3 linked regions of the Macaca mulatta genome follow. Each later gene encodes a partner of the first gene's protein in a complex. Links are inferred from orthologs where the notes say so. Each region holds a gene or a part of one and is shown in the gene's direction. Other genes may lie near its edges. The genes, in order: G3BP1, CAPRIN1 and ELAVL4.

Region 1 (3,650 bases):
CGTATTTGAAAGTTTTTGTGTGTTTGTGTTAAAAGCCACATATCATAAAATTTGCCATCTTAACCTTTTTTTTTATCTTAACCATTTTTAAATATAAAGTATAGTAGTGTTAACTGTATAGATACGGTTGTATGACAGATCTCTAGGACTTTTCACCTTACAAATCTTATTGAAGATAACTTCATATACCTTACAAACAGACTGTACCCATTGAATGGCAACTTTCTTTTCCCCCTCCCCCAGCCTATTTTGAGAGTTTTTCTGATGTTGTATGCTAAATGAATTGTAATGATTGTGGGATTCCAGCCATAAAGTGGTTTGGTTCATTTTGATGTCCTGATTCATTTGCTTATCAGAATTTGCCCAAATGGATTCCAGTGAAGTTATTGAGTGGCATTTTAAAAATTACTTTTTAAAAACTCAGATATACAATTCTTAGCTTTTTTTTTTTTTTTTTTTGAATAGAGGGAGCTAACTCTATGTTCTGGTTTCTGGTTAATAAATGATGGGGAATTTTTTGCGAAATAAATGGTGGCAGAATGATATTTCTCAAATTTTTCCATCAAAGTAATGACATGGAAGAACATTTAGAGGAGCCTGTTGCTGAACCAGAGCCTGATCCTGAACCAGAACCAGAACAAGAACCTGTATCTGAAATCCAAGAGGAAAAGCCTGAGCCAGTATTAGAAGAAACTGCTCCTGAGGATACTCAGAAGAGTTCTTCTCCAGCACCTGCAGACATAGCTCAGACAGTACAGGAAGACTTGAGGGTATGAAACATGTCTTCATTTTTATTCTATTTCTAGTTATTTTTTAAAAAAGAGAAATCTCTGTTCTGTATTGCTGTTCGGTTGACTTTTGTAGATACATTTTCATATTGGTGGTTCATTTCAGGGAAATTTCTTAGATATTGAGCCATGCCTTTGATAAGAGAGAGGTAAGATGTGTATTAGTTTATTTCATCAAAAAAAACCACTCCCTTCCCCTAGGTAACTTGAATGCCTGTTAGACTAGAAAGTTTAGGTGCCACTGTAGCACCGTGTCAGTGATTCCTTATCTTTTTAATATTCAAGCTTTTACACTATAAATTATTACATGCTTGTTACTACAAATTTATAACATCTTTTTAAGGAAAACAACATGGCAGAATATACTTTTTCTATGAAATTTTTTTGAAGATAACTTTATAGTGGAAGTAGGAATGAACTGCTGAAGTAAGATTTCTTTGCTAGTTGGCATACCTGATTTCGGAAGTTTTCAGTTTGTCCTCCTGAGTCTTATTAGGGTGTTGTTAACTGAACTCATGAAACCTTTACATTTGGCACTCTGAGAAGGAATATAATTTTTAGTGCTGTATTGATAGGCTCAGGGTTATGTCATTTGTTTGTTCAACAATTAATTCAAATTCCTGCTGTGTGTTAGGCATTGTTCAAAGTGTAGGTATTGGCAAAACAGATAGGGGTTCTTGCTCTCTGGCAGCTAATAGGTGAGTAGGAAAGAGCAATGTTGAAATGACTTTAGCTTGCAAGTGGAAAAAATTAGCTGGTCATGGTGATGCCTATGTGTGATCCCAGCTGCTTGGGAGGCTGAGGGAGGAGGATTGCTTAGCCTGGGAAGTCAAGGCTGCAGTGAGCTGTGATTATGTCACTGCATTCCAGCTTGGGAGACAGAGTAAGACCTTGTCACAAGAACAAAACAATAAGAAGCAAGTGGGAAAGTAGTTTGACTGGACCAGATGACCACTTAGTTGGTTATTATAGTAAACCTAGTAAGAGAGGATGATGGTTTGAATTAGAGTTGTGGCAGTGGAAATGGAAAAGAAATAATTAGGTAGAATAACAGGTTGTGACAATTTTTAAATGTGTGAGAAAGGTGTTCATGATGATTCTACAGTTGATATAATTGAGTCAATGTTTGTACCATGGATTGGATTGAATGACAGCAGGAAGAGCTGAGCTGATTTTGGAGGAGAGGGAATTTTGTTTGATTCACAAATTTGAATGAAAGTAGCTTTCCTTGGGCCAGGCGTTGTGGCTCACGCATTTAATCCCAGCACTTTGGGAGGCAGAGGCCAGGAGGATTGCTTGAGTTCAGGAGTTAAAGACCAGCCTGGTCAATACAGTGAGACTTCATCTCTGCTAAAAAGAAAAAATAGCTGGATATGGTGGCACATGCCTGTAGTTTCAGCTGCTTGGGAAACAGGTGGGAGGATCACTTGAGCACAGGAGATGGAGGCTGCCGCGAGCTGTGTACATGCCACTGCATTCCAAAAAAAAAAAAAAAGTGAGTAGTTTCTTGAACCTAAGCCTCTCAGATTTGCCTGATCATCAGTCCCAAGGAATTTCAATACTAAATTTTGAATAGCTGGAAGAGAAGAATCTTAATATATGTATAAACTCCATCCTGCCTGTGAGAATGTGTTACCATTTGTTTTGTACAGGAAATCAAGAGTTAGTAGCTTTTATATTGTTTTGATACATGGTATAATTATGTAATGTTGGTATTGCTCCCTTAGACGTTTTCTTGGGCATCTGTGACCAGTAAGAACCTTCCACCCAGTGGAGCTGTTCCAGTTACTGGGATACCACCTCATGTTGTTAAAGTACCAGCTTCACAGGTAAGGTCTTAATAAAACTTGTACATTAGGCAAGTGTACTTATATTTTGGTAATTTGATTCAACAGAGGTTTAGAGAGTGTGAAAACTGGTCAGGTGCAGTGTGGCTCATGCCTGCAATCCCAGCACTTTAGGAGGCTGAAGCCAGCTGATCACTGGAGCCTACCAGTTTGAAACCAATTCAGGCAACATAGTGAGACCCTGTCTCTACAAAAAATAAGAAATTAGCCGGGCCTTGTGGCATGCATTTGTAGTCCTAGTTAATTAGGAAGCTGAGGTGGGAGGATTGCTTGAGTTCAGGAGGTTGAGGCTGCAGTGAGTCATGATTGTGCCACTGGACTGCATCATGGGCAACACAGTGAGACTCTGGCTCAAAAAAAAAAAAAAAAAAAACAACCCAAATCAATGTAGAAACAAAACTGATATATAAGACAGAAGAGAAGGGTATAAGGTGGTTTTTAATGATTTTTCTTGTTAGGGAATTGTCCATTTTCTAGTTTAAAACTTGTTAGCTAAGAAACTTCATTAAGAAAAAGGATAAGCCTGCTTTGTTTTAACACAAAAGTTAACTTAAAATTTTTCAGCCCCGTCCAGAGTCTAAGCCTGAATCTCAGATTCCACCACAGAGACCTCAAAGGGATCAAAGAGTGCGAGAACAGCGAATAAATATTCCTCCCCAAAGGGGACCCAGACCAAGTAAGAGCTCAGAAGGGCGATTTCTCGTTTGGGGGATTTTGAGGTGAGAGCTTATTTTGGGAGGGCAGTTGATATTTATATACTTTAAAATAAAAATATTGTAGGGTTGATGGAATTGCCTGTTTTTACGGTAGAGGGAAAACTATTGAATGTGAGCAGTCACTGAAAGATGTCTTCTTTCTCTTACCTTTAATTGATGTTTTTGTCTCCTTTTAAGTCCGTGAGGCTGGTGAGCAAGGTGACATTGAACCCCGAAGAATGGTGAGACACCCTGACAGTCACCAACTCTTCATTGGCAACCTGCCTCATGAAGTGGACAAATCAGAGCTTAAAGATTTC
Region 2 (3,750 bases), on another chromosome or scaffold:
AAATGTCAGTAAGGCTTTCCCTGACCACCGTTTTTTCTTTTCTCTACCATTTCACTATCTGCCATATACTTACTTGTCTTCCCCTTACTTAGAATGTAAGCTCCATGTAAATATGTTTTGCTCATAATCCCTAGCACTTAAGAGTTCCCAGCACACAGTAAGGTGCACAATAAATACTCCAATGAATATATAACAGACTTTGCAGCTAACCAGGCTATCTTGAGGTCGGAGGCTGCTGTTGTTTCTCCAGGCTCCCTCCGGATGCACTGTTGCCAGCCAGCGTTACTCATTTCATTCCCTAGGCAACAGTGGGCTTGGTAGAACTCTCTTCTAAATCTCTTTTTCATAGAATTTAAATTATAAATTGGTCATTTACTGTTGTCGCACAATATTGCGTTGCTGAATTTTCCACTGATTATATTCATTTTATTTCCTTCCAGAACTTGGTTTCTTGTTTCTCTGCTCACTGTCCACACCCATTCCACTCCAAGGCTGGAATAATTCTCTTGGAAAAAAAAAGTAATCGTTTTCTTTGTATTTCATTGAACATTCCCTTTACAGTGTTAGGTAAACCTGAAACAAAAGGAAACAAAAGTCTAATAATTCGTAATACTCAGGCCTACTGGATAGATAACATCATAGGGTAGCTGAAGACTCTGAGGCCAGAGCTTTAGGATTTAAAAAGCCACCAACCATGACCGTGTCCGACACGTTCTACAGAGAACTCCTAGGTTACTGGGTGATTGTTTGGTGGGGAAGCGGCGAGTTGTCTTGTTTTCAAAAGACGTTATGGGGTATGGAGTTTGCTCGCTCTGCATACAGAAGGAATTCTAGAAGCCGGGATTGCACCACCCACCCCACGCACCCCTTACTTGCAGAAACCTTTGCCCCCCAACCCCCACCCCCACCAAATAAGGGCTCTTCAAGGGGCAGTTGCCAGCTCCAGACCCAGCTGCTTGACACCTATTGTCCCCGCTTGGGCGTCAAACGATTTCGCCTGAAGGACCCTAGCGTTGATTGCTCTCAAAACTCAAGGCGCCTTTCCCTCGGCCTTGGCGGGGCCATCCCCACCTGCGTCCAGGAGGCGCCCCACAGCGCAGGGGCCAGGGGACAGCAGAGAGGCTAGCAGGCTGCCTCTTCCAGGCAGGCGTTCGCGCCGGGCAGCCCGAGCGGCCGCGAAGGCCCCCGCTCTCCGCTTCTCCCGCCCCCCGCGCCCCAGAGGGCTGCTGGCTGGCTAAGTTCCTCCCGCTCCCGGCTCTCGCCTCACTAGGAGCGGCTCTCGGTGAAGCGGGACAGGGCGAAGCGGCTTGCGCCCACGGAGCGCGCGACACTGCCCGGAAGGCACTGCCACCCTTGCCCCCTCAGCTGCCCACTCGTGATCTCCAGCGGCCTCCGCGCGCGCACGGTGAGCGCCACCCGGGACCGAGCCGCTGCAGGGGAAGAGGGCCGCTGCGCCCGAGTGTCCTTTATCTCCGGACCTGCTGGAGCTTCCGAGGGGCTTGCCCCCAAGTCCCCCCACCCCACCCCGGCCATTTCCCATGCCCTTCTCTGCCCCCAAGACGCGGCCTCTTTCCTCCCTTCCCTGGAAGCCGGCGAAAGCCGGCCCTCCCAGCTGGGGACCGTTGCACTGGCCGTTGGCGGCCGGCGCGGCGATGCCCCGCCCCCGGCGCGAGCCTCGGAGCCGCGGGGCTGGTAGGCCGAGCCGGCGGCTCCGCGGGGGAGGGGCGGGTCGGGGGGCGGTGCGAGGCCCGGCCGGGCGCCCCGCTGGCGGGTCGCGCGCGCGCCCGCGCACTCTTCCTGCCCTCGAGGCGCGCCGCGCCCCCTCCCCCACCCGTTCGCGTAGGCTCCCGCCCGCTGCGCGTTTTGTCCCGCGTCTCGCCCCGTCCGTCTCCTGACTCGCCGCTCTTGTCCTTCCTCCCGCTTTTTCTTCTCTCCCCTCGCGGTCTGAAGATGCCCTCGGCCACCAGCCACAGCGGGAGCGGCAGCAAGTCGTCCGGACCGCCTCCGCCGTCGGGTTCCTCCGGGAGTGAGGCTGCCGCAGGAGCCGGGGCCGCCGCGCCGGCTTCTCAGCACCCCGCAACCGGCACCGGCGCTGTCCAGACCGAGGCCATGAAGCAGATTCTCGGGGTGATCGACAAGAAACTTCGGAACCTGGAGAAGAAAAAGGTGCCAGGAGTTGGCGGGGAAGGGAGGGGTGGCTGCGGCCGGGCTCTGCGCCCGCTCCGACCCTGGTCGCTGGAGTCTGCGCTTCTTTCCGTCTCGGGAGCGTTACTAGGTCCCCTCCTCCCACCCCCTGGTCCCCACGTCCCGTCTCCACGTTCAGCGGGAGCTTCGTGCCCAGAAAACGGGCTCCTGGAGGAGGCACTTGTCACCTGACTCGGACGCGGCACTGTCCCCCAGGCCTCTTCATTACTCTTCCGCTGTGGGTCTGGCTTTTGGCCTTTGGGAGTGGGACATGTGAGGGTGGGGGCCTGTCGTCAGGACATCACTGTATGATGCCCTTCTCTCCGTCTCCGAGACCCGATTTCTCTGACGAGGGCCCAAAATGAAGAGGTCCCTGCGCGGGGGGCTCCGGGCTCAACCAAGCGCCTCGTGGAGTTGGGGCGGCCTGTGTCCTGTAGCCTTGCGGTCTGTCCGCTCGGTTACCATGCATTTGAGACCTGTCGAGCGTCCCCTTTTCTTCCGTGGGAGAGAAGTGTGTTTAGAATCTTAAGGCAGAACTGCCTTTCCGGCAGGCCCATTTTGAATGGATCTTCGATTTGCTACCCCCGCCCCCATGCGATGGGCTCCCCTGCGTTTCCCTCTTTGTTTCAATTGTTTAGGTGTCCCCCCGAGCCTCACGCTCAGCTCAATCGCGAGATGATTTTCTGCAGCGACTTTTTGTTCCTAGGGGACTCTGAAGGGGCGGGGGACTGCCAGGATTTAGATTCGTTGGGGGCTGGGTCCTGGGGAGACTGGAGAGGATGGCTGGGACTCGGGGCACATGGAGAGAGCGTCTAACATGGCGGCGGCTGCGGGGAGAGGGAAGCGCTTTACTGGAGCTGCATTGTGAGCACAAAGCGAAAGCAGAGGGGGAGGGCAGAGACCAGGCAGCCGCCCGGACTGGCCTCCTTAGGCCCCCCTCTAAAAAGAAAAATCGAGCCACACCCACGATTTTTTGGATTCAATATTTAGTCCTTGTAGATCACACTACTGAGGTATATCTTCATCTGCAAGTCAGCCTTTTGTTTTATGCTTTCATCGCAGGACAGTGTAAACTCTGTTTAGAGGGGCGTGTGTATGTATGTAGAGAAAAGGTCTGGGCAGAGTGAATAATTAAAATGAGTAAGATCAGAGGTGGAAGGGGAGAAACAAATTAGTCGTTTGTGAAAACGAGGTAATTACGTCTGTGACTATCATGTTAACTTGAATTTTACCTTGTAAAATGAAAGTTTGATAACTTCTACTGTCTGCCTCTAGGAAAACATTTTTATAACATCTTGAATTTCCAGGAAATCATTTTGCAGTGTTTATGTAGCCAGATACCTAATAGCGTTACTTAGGTGCTGATATAGTAACTGGCTAAAACTTGGGCTGTGGGAAATAAGTTGAAGAAAACTGGCGATGTTTAGGTCTTATTAGTTTTACGTATTTACTGATATATTTTACATTTTGGGAGAGTTTTAAAACATTTAGATTTGATACTTCCTGTCTCCTCTTCAGTATTAAAGGTTGGGAGTTTTACTTGAATTTCATGGACTTTATTTGAAA
Region 3 (3,650 bases), on another chromosome or scaffold:
AAGAGTTGATGATCAATTTCTGAGGAGATGGAAGCCATTTTATGATGGACAAATAGAGGATGGTGATAAGACAAAATGGAAAGTTGCAAATTATGGGCTGCGTTTGGGGCCAGGAAACCTGGGTGCAGGCCTGGACTTTGCCCTCATTTTTATATGATATCAGAGAAGTAATTGGACATCTCTGGGCTTCATGTCCAATGTGAGAGTGTTGAGCTAGATTTTGTTCCCTTAAGCGCCTTCCGGCTCTGGAATTTTGCAATTCTCCATGTTTGTCATCCCATACAGGGCATCTTCATGACCTGACTTCATGAGCTTAAACTCATTTTTCTTATAAAACCCTATTCTAGCATCTTCTCAGAACTTTCCCTGAATCTCCCTATCCTGTAAGCAGAAGTAATTGCTTCTGTATTGCATGGTCATTGCCCTACACCAGCTGTTTACCTGTCTTTGTCCTCTATAGGCTATTAGCTCCTTGAAGATAAGGATTCATTCATTTCTTTATTCTCATGCATGCTGCCTAGAACATTCACACCAGCCAGAAATCTTTGTTTAATTAAATATTTTAATCAAGAGAAAGTCCTTTTTGAGTAAGATGTGAGTGGACAGCCTCAGGCGGTGCCGGACCTAAGGAAAACTTTGCCTCCATGTTTTTTGTTTTATTAGAGGTCTGGGAGAAACAATAACAGAATGGCTAGATTAAAAAAAAAAAAAAAGACATTAGAGGACTTTGCAGCTACCTAGCATGTACCTATAAAAATCTAAAGTTTGATCAGTGATTAAGCATCAGTGAAAAATTTAAACCCTTCCCATATTGAACAACCCCACTTAATTTAATGTCATTTTATTTTATGAGATAGTTAATAAACAGGTACTGTATTTGATCTTGTGAGTGTAGCCCTCTATATTTAGCTTTTTCAGCTTTAATGGAACTATAATTTTAATCATGATTATTACTTTACATTTTAATTATAATTTGGTGTGGCTTAAGTATACATTTCTGAGAGTAGTTGTGTAATGAAAACAGGAATTAGCTTTTCATTAACAAAATAATGGGAGAGTTCCTACTGCATTCTAGTCTGTGTTCAAAATCTATGGGCTGGCCTAAAAATAGAAAGGGGAGTTTAACATTTTGGTTAAAAACAGGCTTCTAAATTGGCTGTGTTCACAACCCAGTCTCTTGCTCCATCTTGCTTTATCTTCTCTTTCTTTTCAAAAAAATAAATAAACTTTTAAAAGAGACTTTGGTTGTGTCTGAGATTTCAAAAGGCTTTTTCAATTGTTTTTATTTTTATTTAGATAATTAGCACCATGGAGCCTCAGGTGTCAAATGGTCCGACATCCAATACAAGCAATGGACCCTCCAGCAACAACAGAAACTGTCCTTCTCCCATGCAAACAGGGGCAACCACAGATGACAGCAAAACCAACCTCATCGTCAACTATTTACCCCAGAATATGACCCAAGAAGAATTCAGGAGTCTCTTCGGGAGCATCGGTGAAATAGAATCCTGCAAACTTGTGAGAGACAAAATTACAGGTATGCACAGGATTTGAAGCTATGTTGTTCCATTAGATGTGCAGATCTTAGCAGAAATGCACATGTGTGATGATGCACCTGAGTGTCTATATCATGTACCCTGCTTGCAGGGTGGCACGGATACACAGTCATAAACTTACACCACATACACCACATAAGACCTTATTGTAGATTGGTACTGCTGGGAAGCAGATGAAGATTTTGGCACATCTTCATCTTCATGTAAAATGATCTTTTGATTTTGTCTCCTTTTATTCTCCTCCATTCCCTCCCTTTGTTCTATAGTTTCCAGTCCCACACTCTGCTCTCCCTATACTTTACACTAGTTTTGTTCATGTATTCTTCTCCTCTCAATATTTGCTTCGTGTGTGCCCAATGTTCTTCCAAGTGCCTGAAACAAGTGTTTTAAAAGGGGCCACTGTGGATGTGTGAATGGTTGACACAACTGCCCTTGTCCCTGGGGAGAAACAGGCCCTAAGGATAGCAGATTAATCTGGAATGCAACTACTCTGCAGTAGGAGGGAGATACTTAATGAAGATCTGCATTTGAGGTATTTTGTTTTATGTCATCTGTCTGTTTGTTTTGAAGATGCTCTTTAAGAAGTGAGGGAATTTTTACTTGAAAGTGAATCAACACCCTGTACAACTTCAATACATGAGATTTTTAGGTTCTGATTTTCTCCTAATTGACAACTGTTCGTTGAGAACCAAATGTTTGCCAGACACTGACACTATAATTCTTTGGGGGAAAGTTTCCCTGTAATCTTATTGGCAGTGAGAATATTTTCTTAGAGATATATTAGGCTACATAACGATGGCAGTGAAGCTGCTACTGTGTGATACTCCACTCCTGAAATCATTCATATCCAACTTTGAATACTTGTCAGTTTTGAGTATTGACTTTTGTTTTCTTTCTCTAGACAGTTTAATTAATCAGCAACTGTCCTGTAGTTTTTTTTAAAAAAAAGGAAGCTGTGTCATTAAAATAGGGGTATACATCATCTTTATTTTAAATCAGAGATTACATTCTATATGTGTGCGTGTAATTATATATATTCTTCTGTTCTCATAATTCACATGTAAATTTGTTCCCCTTATAAATTAAGTAGTTTGCAAAATCATAAAACTTAAATACCACTGCCACTTTCCAAAATATAAGTCACTCCAGATATAATTTTCTTATTTGAAAAATTGTAAGATAATGCTTGTCTCAAAGGGCTTATTGTGAGGATTAAATGAGAGACTAGATATATTGCATCTAGCACAGTGTCTATTGCTTAGTGGTGCCTCAGTAAATACATCTATTATTATAAGTACAGCTAGTATGCTTCAAGGAAAGTGGCCAGAACAGAAAAAAATATATCTATCAAGTTCTCCAAATAGGGCCAGGCTTTGATGATCTTGTACCAGAGCACTGGAACATCTATCCTTAAACAGAATTTCCCATACGTTCAGAAAGCCAATATTTAGATTCCTGAATAATCTTTATGTAATAGGATGATAATTCAAACCAAATTAAAACCAGTTAACCATATGATTCTTCCTCCTACTCCTATATAGGAAATGTATTTTTAGTGTAGCCTTACCTTCAAAATACAGAGTCTGCCAGCTATATTAGTGAATATTATTAATCACCTTTTCAGAATTCCTTCAGAACTGTAGTGAGATTTTTGAGAAGTACTGATTCATGGTGTTGTTCCTTGTTTTCTAAAGACACATGTTTAAACAAGCAGATTCCTTTACTGAAAGAATGCTAATTTGGTAGTTCACCGAGTGGATTTGAATAGGAGTGACAGCTTCGAAGACAGCCTTTAATTTGGTATACAAAACCAAAATTGTCAACTTTGGTTTGTTTAGCACCCTCTCCAGCACAAGCAGAGACATACAGTAGCATCTGAGCTTAAAGAAGAAACTTATGGGGTTGAAAGCAGAAATACAATTCAGGCATAAATTTGTAATTATGCATCCTTCTTAAATTCAGGCCCAAAAAATTTTTATTTGTAGAGACCTTATGGGAATGAGGCAGAGAAATATAGAGAGAGACCAGAGATATTTGCCCTCATTTGGTAGCAGTGTTTAATAAAAGTAAAACTTGTGGTTGTAAAGAGTGCTT

The links.
Region 2: the proteins of G3BP1 (region 1) and CAPRIN1 are in contact, whole or in part, in a crystal structure (PDB 8TH7), measured with the Homo sapiens proteins. The link is inferred for Macaca mulatta from reciprocal best matches to the Homo sapiens genes G3BP1 and CAPRIN1. Residues at the interface, in NP_005745.1 of Homo sapiens: Glu4, Lys5, Pro6, Ser7, Leu10, Val11, Glu14, Phe15, Arg17, Gln18, Thr21, Leu22, Met29, His31, Arg32, Phe33, Tyr34, Gly35, Lys36, Gln58, Lys59, His62, Leu114, Glu117, Asn122, Lys123, Phe124, Tyr125; in NP_005889.3 of Homo sapiens: Met363, Gln365, Met366, Gln367, Gly368, Pro369, Tyr370, Asn371, Phe372, Ile373, Gln374, Asp375, Ser376, Met377, Leu378.
Region 3: G3BP1 (region 1) and ELAVL4 share a complex: the UniProt entries of both Homo sapiens proteins name them as parts of the TAU mRNP complex. The link is inferred for Macaca mulatta from reciprocal best matches to the Homo sapiens genes G3BP1 and ELAVL4.

Annotation. Positions count from the first base shown.
Region 1 is NC_133411.1:160,738,431-160,742,080, forward strand, and holds part of G3BP1 (ras GTPase-activating protein-binding protein 1), read left to right. Parts: intron 1-568; coding exon 569-770; intron 771-2,515; coding exon 2,516-2,617; intron 2,618-3,199; coding exon 3,200-3,311; intron 3,312-3,528; coding exon 3,529-3,650. UniProt on the Homo sapiens protein: Protein involved in various processes, such as stress granule formation and innate immunity. Plays an essential role in stress granule formation.
Region 2 is NC_133419.1:31,226,984-31,230,733, reverse strand, and holds the start of CAPRIN1 (caprin-1), read left to right. Parts: upstream 1-1,217; 5' UTR 1,218-1,405; intron 1,406-1,950; coding exon 1,951-2,166; intron 2,167-3,750. UniProt on the Homo sapiens protein: mRNA-binding protein that acts as a regulator of mRNAs transport, translation and/or stability, and which is involved in neurogenesis, synaptic plasticity in neurons and cell proliferation and migration in multiple cell types.
Region 3 is NC_133406.1:190,516,973-190,520,622, reverse strand, and holds part of ELAVL4 (ELAV-like protein 4), read left to right. Parts: intron 1-1,296; coding exon 1,297-1,537; intron 1,538-3,650. UniProt on the Homo sapiens protein: RNA-binding protein that is involved in the post-transcriptional regulation of mRNAs. Plays a role in the regulation of mRNA stability, alternative splicing and translation.